2 linked regions of the Arabidopsis thaliana genome follow. The protein of the gene in region 1 interacts with the protein of each later gene in a biochemical or structural test. Each region holds a gene or a part of one and is shown in the gene's direction. Other genes may lie near its edges.

Region 1 (5,140 bases):
TAAGTTCTCCAATATCTTGGTGAATATTCATATTAATCGGTCAAAGATAGTACAATAATAAGTTACAAGTTGCTGCAACACTTTTCTCTATGTAAGAGGATTCAACATCAACCTCACATTAACTATAAAATTTATGGCTGTTATATAGAAAATAAGGTAGTATAAAATTAATGTCGTAAAAATTTAATATTTCTTTTAGGTATTAACCAAAATGAATTGATCATTTGTAAGCGTTTCAGAATCCTACCTTTAACTTCATAATCTCAATTTACAGTATGCAAACAACTATATTGGTCTGATAAAAAAGAAGAAATGGTATTTTTAGTTTTGTTCCTAGTGTTTTTGGTTTGCTTTTAGATGGCATAGAAACACTATTGGTTTGGTTATTGTCTATAAGACATAATTAATCGGGAAAAGAAAACAATTCATTTATCCTTACAGATTACTTTAATGTTCATACATAATACTATAGTTAAACAAACAAACATTAAAAGTTGAGCCTCCGTGGTTCATATATGCAGAAGGAATATCTCGGATCCATTTTTGGTACCAACGAATAAAGTGTTAATTAATATTTAACCACATCTACAAGAGGGTTTAACGTGGAATTAAGTATAACCACGCAAAGATAATATAGCTGTTGAATCTTTTTCTTTTTAAATTACCGACCATCGAAACGTACTTCAAGAATTCGAACAAAAAGTTAATGAGACTTATCAAATAACTCCAAACTAATTATTATTATTTTCTTTACAAAAGCATTTCAAAAACTTTAGAGACCCTTTGGTTGAGAATCATCAATATTAAACATTCAAACCAAGTTAGGGCAGTGTTTTGATGGTCGATAACTCGTCTTATTGGTCGAGACAAGTGATCGAGTTAGTATTAACATATGTAAAAAAAAAGAAACATGTATTGATCATTGTTGAGGATAAATTTCATCTATTAAGATATCAGTCAATTATAATGTGTTACGTGATTCGATAAAAAAAAAAGACCAAAAAAAAAAAGAAGATAACTATTGGTAAGCGTAAGAAATGTGTTTACATTTTGGCATTTTGCCAAAACACATAAAGATGGTTAGTGATGAGACGAGACGAGTCATGCGCTACTTTTAAAACAAAATGAAAAACATCATTAAGCTAACAAACCAAACACACTTGTTTTGATAACATGTTCTAGGGAACTAGTTATGCCAAATCTAATCCGCATAAGAAGACTAAGTCACAACATAATTCAGTAATTTGGTTGAGATTAAATCCTATAAATATGATTTTAAGGTATAAGAGAGAAGAGACTCTTTTGATCAACACAATCAAACATCTACAAAGAAAATTATCTCACATAGCTACTTCTTAATCTAATTTTTTCATTAATCCATTTTATTTTAAATGTGAAGAATCGCATCTAGATGTGACCTCTCATGATAAAAAATTAAACCATTGTAAAAAAAATGTTGTGTAAAACTAAATATAATAAATTATTAAAAAAATACAAATTCAATCCACTAGGTTAAAAACTCCTATGTAGAACATTTTTTTATATTAAAATGTAAATACATGAATCTTATTTTTCGAAAAACTAAAGACATCTTTTTTTTATATATTAATTACCAAAACAAAATAAGACGACAAAAATATTCTTTGATATAGTAAAAGAAAACTAGAAAACTAGAAAACAATAAATTACCAAAACAATCTAGAAAACAATAAATCCTACTTTGCATTACTTTATTATAAAATCCCGAAATGAATCTATAAATGTAGAAAATATTATACAAAAGTTGTAAGAGATTTTAATATACATAATTACATATATATACAAGTAAATACACCGTATATACATACGAAGGAGTAAACAGTATTATTTGGTATATAGTTACGTCTCTATATACGAAGGGTTCAAACTTCAAAGTAATAATTTAATCAACAATGTGTACATATTGATAAGTAGTAGTATATATGTAAAGGTCTCACGTCTCTATAATAAAGTATGACTCGTCACGTGACCTCCTCTTCTTCGCAGAGACAGAGATAGGATGAGACAGAAAGAAACCAACAAAACCAAACCCCAAAACCCAAGAAAAAGAGAAAAACACTCTCTTCTCTTCTCTCTCTCTCTTTCTATTTAAGAGACTTCACTGTCTCTCTCAGTCTTTTAACGCAAAACAACTTTTGTGGAGGAGAGAAAGCGAGATAACACACACACAGAGATACACATCTTCAATAGTTAAGAGTTTTCTATATACAGAAGCATAGAGGAAAGAGAGAGAGACAGATACAAAAGTTAATATCTCTCTCTCTCACTTGGTGAGACTTCTCTTTTTCCTCTGGGTTTTGTGGTGGGGGTTGTCTCTATAAAAACTTATATATATAAAATATATAAATAAATAAGAAGGAATTATCAGGTTTTATATAAAATAGCAAAAGAAATGCAACAGCACCTGATGCAGATGCAGCCCATGATGGCTGGTTACTACCCCAGCAATGTTACCTCTGATCATATCCAACAGGTTCTCTTCTCCTTCTCCTCCTTCTCCTTCTTCTTCTATTATATTATCTCTTTCTTTTTTCTTTATTATATGTTTCTTTGAATTCATAAAGGAAAGTGAAGAAATCTCTCTTGCAAGTACCTTATAACTTTTTCTTTATATTATATAAAAAAGTATGTGAAACCCTTTTCTTCTGTTCTCATAACATAGATGATTTTTTTTCATTGGTTCTTTTTTGTTTGGTAAAAGAGTTCTTGTTATTCTTGTTTCCATGTCTTTTTTTTTCATAGAGAAATTAGTTTTAATACATGTGTGTTTATGTTTGATAAATTTGGTTGGTAGAGATGCTTTGGTCACTAAGATGATTCTTTCAACTTTTTTTCTTTTCCTTATAGATTTGGTGTATTATCAGTTAACTTTGATGCTAATTAAATGTCTAAAACCAGACAAAGTTAAGAAAGATTCTTTCTTTCAATGAAAATGAATGTTTAGGGTCCAGTTGTGTTTTGAGTTCTTGAAACATGTAATGAAAAATAACGTGTTCAAAACAGACAAATCTTGGGAACTGAAGATTTGTTTCACATATCTCGTTTTTTCTTCTTGTCTTGGTTTTCGGGTTCTGGAAGTTTCATTGATGGCAAAAACCACAAAGCCATTTATGTGAATATTGTGGGTGGTCCTGTTTAGATTTGTTATCATTATAAGTAGATCTATGTGTATTTTCCAGTCCAAGTGTTTCTTTTATTGCTTACATGACCAGATATACTTTGTGGTCCGAAACAACATCTGGTCCTTATCTCAGTTTTTTTTTTGTGTGGTCCTCAAAATCTTTTCGAAGAAAATCTTTCGTTACACTTTTGTGATATTTCAACATTATTGTCTTTTGAGATAAGTCGGAATTTAAGTTACTGGGGTCTCCTTTTGAGATTTTCTATGTCTTTATTACAACAAAAACAAAATAGTATGCAAATTTTTTGTTTGTAGCATTAGTAATGATTAATGAAAATGTTTGATTGTAGTACTTGGACGAAAACAAATCGTTGATTCTGAAGATTGTTGAGTCTCAAAACTCTGGAAAGCTTAGCGAATGCGCCGAGTAAGAGACAACATATCTCCTTTATGATTTCACTTGTGTTCTGTTGAGTAACAAGAAATGATGATTAAAATGGTTATAGGAATCAAGCAAGGCTTCAACGCAACCTAATGTACCTAGCTGCAATAGCAGATTCTCAGCCTCAGCCACCAAGTGTGCATAGCCAGGTGATTGTTTATACAGTGAAGTATTCCAAATTTTGTTGTATGATCAATTGAGAAAGTGATTTGTTTTGTTTGGTTATTAGTATGGATCTGCTGGTGGTGGGATGATTCAGGGAGAAGGAGGGTCACACTATTTGCAGCAGCAACAAGCGACTCAACAGCAACAGATGACTCAGCAGTCTCTAATGGCGGCTCGATCTTCAATGTTGTATGCTCAGCAACAGCAGCAGCAGCAGCCTTACGCGACGCTTCAGCATCAGCAATTGCACCATAGCCAGCTTGGAATGAGCTCGAGCAGCGGAGGAGGAGGAAGCAGTGGTCTCCATATCCTTCAGGGAGAGGCTGGTGGGTTTCATGATTTTGGCCGTGGGAAGCCGGAAATGGGAAGTGGTGGTGGCGGTGAAGGCAGAGGAGGAAGTTCAGGGGATGGTGGAGAAACCCTTTACTTGAAATCATCAGATGATGGGAATTGAAAGAGTGTGGCACAAGGAATCTTAATGATGAAGCAGCAGCAGCAGCAGAAGAAGTAGTAGTAATAATAGGAGTCTTGAAGTTAGTGTGTTTTGGTTTTAGTTGCTTGTTGAAGAAGCAAAGAACTCTTTATTTACTTCTTTTTAGTTTTGTTATTCTCTCTATGTTTGTTCCCTAAAACAGTGAACCTCTTTCGTGGTAGTGTACCATGTAAATCTGCTGGCTCCAAGTTGTGTCGTAATCTTAATATGTTATTTCTCTGAGTTAGACTCTTTTGCTTTAACCAGGACTGAAGTTTTGTAGATCATTGATGTTACCTATTTGGATTCTAAATCGTTATGTAGGCTATATTATTGTTTTTTTTTTCTGGCTGTTATACATAATTTTATTTTATAGTTGATAAAGTCCAACCGGTTCAGTCCAAGACTCATATGACCAGCCTTAGTGGTCCTCGCAAGGTCCCATACTGCTGAAGACCGGACCATAGCCACCCGAAGCTGCACTCAAACCAAAGACCATATTCGGGTCCATTTAAGATAAAGTCTCGTGAAGAAAAGAGGGTTTCAAAAATGTGTCTTTTGGTCCCTTTGCTTCGTCCTAGATTCTTCAAGTAGTATTGAGTGTGGATTTCCCTTAGTTGAGAGTTCCATCGACGATTGTTTTTCTAGTGTCTGGATTCCCCTAGGAGGCCAAGCCCAGCCCCTGCTTTTTACAACTCAATCACAAGCCAAGAGAAGTCTTCAGTTATTCTATTACTTCCTTCCCTTTGGCAAAACTATAAGCCTTGAAACAATATGTCACAAACACTAGTTAAATGTTTAGACCGCACCACCATAGGCCCCAAGTATGTATTTGACATGTTGGCTTCATGCCTGCTCTACTAGACTTCATTTTTGTCTAACTGGTAGTGCGCTATTTCGA
Region 2 (4,547 bases), on another chromosome or scaffold:
GCTTTGGGGAAAAATTAAAGCTATACGTAATTTCACTGATCGTTTTTGGAAAGAAACATGGAAATTAAAAGGTGAGCTTTTTTTTTAGTTGCTGCTTCTCTATTGATGAGTTCCTAGCGTTATGTGGAATCTAGAAACTTTGTGATTTTGTTTATAATCTATGCTTACTCTTTTCTCATGTTTACGCTTCTAGATGATAAACAACGAACACGTTGGAATAAGTCCTACAACATCTTGTTTGGGATGGAGCCAGGAAGTTCTGAGATGAATCTATCTTATATGCCCAACTACAAAGGACTTTGTTGATTTCATGTTTGAAAAGCAAAAGCCTATCCAATTCTTCACTCCAACGGTTAATTTTAACCACATTCGCGGTTCTACTATATATCCTTAATGAAATGTAGATTCTAGGACCTTAAAATTGTTTTTCCTCTGTGGCAGAGAACTTTTTCTACATCGATGCCCATGAAAGTCTCTTGACTTCTTGCCTCCTACTATTTTATGCATCCTAAAGCGAATCTCGATAAGGTTGTAATCTCTATTATATCCATCCTAAACACCGTTTGTGTATTCTCCATGTGTTTGATTCCTTTTGAATGTTTTGGTTCCTAGCTGAAACTCCAATATGAGGGGTTAGAGCATTAGTTATTCAACCTAAAACTCCATTATCTCTGACTCAAAGACCTATCATTGTCTTTAGTGTGACTCCAAATTATGAGGCTTTCTCTCTACCTTGCAAGATCAAACTTGAAAGAAATCTTGATAAAATCCTAACTTCAGGAAAATTGTGTATATACATATGTCGTTTAATCGATACTCTACATGTTTGCTTGTTTAACAACGATATGTGTGTACGTTTTGTGCATACTATTTTCAGCAAATAGTTTTTTTCATAGAGAAATTAAATTTTAGTAAATACACGAATATTATAATTATGATCTCACAAAAAAGAAAAAAAAAACCGAGATCTTCAAATAAATATAAAACTTACTTACATAGACATGCAAAGCCTTCTTGACATGCAAATGGATGTTGTCCATGTTCCTAATAGAGGGGATGAAACCAATCCACAAAATTTATTTTTACTAAAGTGATGAGGACTTATAGCCTTAGAAATATAGTAATTATGAGTATCCAAAACAGAACAGTTGGTCTTCTTAAATAAAAAAAATAAAAAAAATAATTAGATGTTTATAATAATATCTTATTATAACAGTTGGTCCTCTTAATTTTTTTTTAAAAAGAGATAATTAAATGTTTATAATAATATTTGTAAATTAACGATGTCGGCTCACTAGATTTACGATGATTGACGTATTTGTTTGTAAATTTTATGAAATTACGTTCATTAAATTAAATATTTAAATACTAAAGATTAACAGCTAAAGAAATCTTAATGAAATATTGCCATCTTTGGGTTTTAAATTTTCTATTTTTCATATTTCATATCGGATATCCGATTAAAAATGAAATCAGTAAGTATACCAAAATACAAGCGTTATATTTATTGGGCCTATTCGGGCCATTCAATAATTAATTCACCCACGCGCAAATGAGTTAATCCGTAAAATAGGCTTTAAAGCCCATTCAATAAACCCGTTTCGCAGGAAAAAAGCCCATTAAATAAGTAATTTCCAGAAATACCCTTTTCCAATCATTGAAAATTCAAACTTGACCTAAAAAGTATCTGAAAAGCCAGCGCCTTTTTTCGTTACGAATCCGTGTTTTTGCCAGCTTTCAATCCAACGGCTCTCCTTTCTTCTCACAATCCGTAATCATCGCTCCCCACTCATTCATTATAAACAAAAACAAAAATCCACGGAGCCGATAAAAAAAAAAAAAAACTCTCTCAGATCTGAGAATCATTTCTTCTTCTTCTTCCTCACTTTGTTCATCATCTTCTTCTCCGATCTAAACAACAATGGCGACACCAGGAGCTTCCTCAGCAAGAGATGAATTCGTATACATGGCGAAACTCGCCGAACAAGCAGAGCGTTACGAAGAAATGGTTGAATTCATGGAGAAAGTCGCGAAAGCTGTTGACAAAGACGAACTCACCGTCGAAGAACGTAATCTCCTCTCCGTCGCTTACAAAAACGTCATCGGAGCTCGTCGTGCTTCGTGGAGAATCATTTCATCGATCGAACAAAAGGAGGAGTCTCGCGGTAACGATGACCACGTTTCGTTGATCCGTGACTACAGAAGCAAAATCGAAACGGAACTTTCTGATATCTGTGACGGAATCCTTAAGCTTCTCGATACGATTCTCGTTCCCGCTGCTGCTTCTGGAGATTCGAAGGTGTTTTATCTGAAGATGAAAGGTGATTATCATAGGTACTTGGCTGAGTTCAAATCTGGTCAAGAGAGGAAAGATGCTGCTGAACATACTCTTACTGCTTACAAAGCTGCTCAGGTTTTTGATCTCTTTCTCCGATCTGTGATTTGATTTTTGTGTGATTTAGGTTTTTGAAATTTTGGTTTGTTGTGTAGGATATTGCTAATTCTGAATTGGCTCCAACGCATCCGATTCGTCTTGGTCTTGCGTTGAACTTCTCTGTGTTTTACTATGAGATTCTCAATTCTCCAGATCGTGCTTGTAATCTCGCTAAGCAGGTTTGGATCTCATCTGAGGGATGTTTTATATGATTATGTATTGTTGGTTTATGTGTGTGTTTGATGAGTTTTTGTTTATGGATTTATTTAGGCGTTTGATGAAGCAATTGCTGAATTGGATACTCTTGGTGAAGAGTCATACAAGGACAGTACTTTGATTATGCAGCTTCTTCGTGATAACCTCACTCTCTGGACTTCTGATATGCAGGTATTATATATTGGCTCCTGTATGATTGATTTTGTTGCTTGAATTGTGAAACAATGAGCCTAATTAAGTCATTGACAAAAGTTAGATTTGGATATCAAGTTTATTTGATGCATTCTTCTGGTCTAATTCTGATTTTGGTGATTGTCAACTGTGTTAGTAATCTTGCTAGGTATTATATTTTGGCCTTATAAGCTTGTTTTTGTTGCTTGATGAACGAATAACGTTTTTGTTTCTTGATCTCTGAAACTTTTAGCCTATAATTAAACCATTAAGAAAGACTTGATTTGTAATAAAACAGTTTAGTTTACATTTGGATGCATTCTGCTGGCTCTGATTCTGATTTTAGTGATTGTCAAATGTATTTAAGCCTGTTTTGTTGCTTGATTTCTGAAACCATGAGCCTTGTTAAGCCATTGCGGAAGTCTAGATATGGAAAACAAACAGTTTAGTTTACATTTTGATGCATTCTCTTGGTCATATTCTGATTTTAGTGATTGTCAAATGTGTTTAATCCTGTTTTGTTGCTTAATTTATGAAATCATAAGCCTTGTTAAGCCATTGAGGAAGACACGAATTGAATATCAAGTGGTTTAGTTTACATTTTGATGCATTCCTCCTTATGCCTTGCTTAAGCCTGTTTGTGATTTCTGAAACCATGAGCAAGATATATGCCATTGAGGGAGACTAGATTTGGAAATCAAGTTGTTGCTTAGTTTACATTTTGATACATTCCTCAATCCTTCTTTCTTGTGGTCTGATTCTGATTATGATGATCTTGTCAAATGTTTTTTTCAATCAGGACGATGTTGCTGATGACATCAAAGAAGCAGCACCAGCAGCAGCAAAACCCGCTGACGAGCAACAATCCTAAGTCGTCTTACCGCAACTTTGTTGTCATTTCAGTATCTAAAACCTCTCCATTAATATGTTTTTCTCTTGGAGGTGTTTCTCTGTTGGTTTCTTATTTCCTTTTATCCCCAAGCTCTCTAAGGCAGTCTAATTCTTGTCCTTTTTTGCTGCTTTTCTCAACCGTGGATACGAAAACTCGATTCCTATTATTTTTCGTTTATCTGTTTCCATTTTATCGTGATTTGACTCCTATCTTCTGTGTCTTTGTTTGTAATGGATTCAACTTCTCTTTTTGTTTCAATGTCAAGAAAAATCTTTGGTTTATTTCGAAGTTTCCTCTCATGTTATACATATAGTGTACATAGCTTATAGCTTGAGTTTGCTCAGATTGATCCGTTCGACGGGATATGTATATGCCTCGAAGTTGATTTGCTGTCCTAAGCAACTTAGCTTTGTGAATGCAGTTATGAGATCAACCTACAAACATATTCATAAACCAAAACATGAGCTTGAGTTTGAGGTAGATGAATATATGATTAAGGCAAATCGAGTGAAAACGAACCTCGTAATCAGTCTGAGATACGGTTTCACGGCTTCTTTGATACTTCTGAACCCATGGAGCAACTTGAGGGTCAGTAGCTAAGAGCTGTTCTGTTGCAGCTTGATCAGGACCCAAGAATGCAGACATTACAGCTAGCTACAAATTCCTCATACAGGTTAGTTACTTCGAGTGATCCTAGTAGATAATTCTCTGTTTAAACCGAAAATCATGTACCTGACGAGGACCCAATCCAACAGCAATGAACTTATCTTTCATCTCTTGCACAGTTGCTTTCCCCCATTGTGGGACTCTGCCTTCTGGATCAGCCTCTGTTGC

What was found. Proteins that work in one complex are often made in the same cells at the same time.
Region 2: the proteins of AN3 (region 1) and GRF1 form a complex in vitro, tested with the Arabidopsis thaliana proteins (one study listed by BioGRID).

What each region holds. Positions count from the first base shown.
Region 1 is NC_003076.8:10,646,912-10,652,051, reverse strand, and holds AN3 (SSXT family protein), read left to right. Parts: upstream 1-1,989; 5' UTR 1,990-2,431; coding exon 2,432-2,512; exon of another isoform or gene 2,513-2,664; intron 2,665-2,676; exon of another isoform or gene 2,677-3,510; coding exon 3,511-3,587; intron 3,588-3,666; coding exon 3,667-3,751; intron 3,752-3,831; coding exon 3,832-4,221; 3' UTR 4,222-4,585; downstream 4,586-5,140. UniProt on the Arabidopsis thaliana protein: Transcription coactivator that plays a role in the regulation of cell expansion in leaf and cotyledons tissues.
Region 2 is NC_003075.7:5,773,466-5,778,012, forward strand, and holds GRF1 (general regulatory factor 1), read left to right. Parts: upstream 1-1,744; 5' UTR 1,745-1,921; coding exon 1,922-2,413; intron 2,414-2,490; coding exon 2,491-2,613; intron 2,614-2,704; coding exon 2,705-2,821; exon of another isoform or gene 2,822-2,906; coding exon 2,907-2,973; exon of another isoform or gene 2,974-3,179; intron 3,180-3,324; exon of another isoform or gene 3,325-3,534; coding exon 3,535-3,692; 3' UTR 3,693-4,016; downstream 4,017-4,547. Other genes in the region: TL29 (ascorbate peroxidase 4), read right to left, coding at 4,037-4,147, 4,233-4,367, 4,446-4,547. UniProt on the Arabidopsis thaliana protein: Is associated with a DNA binding complex that binds to the G box, a well-characterized cis-acting DNA regulatory element found in plant genes. Involved in the regulation of nutrient metabolism.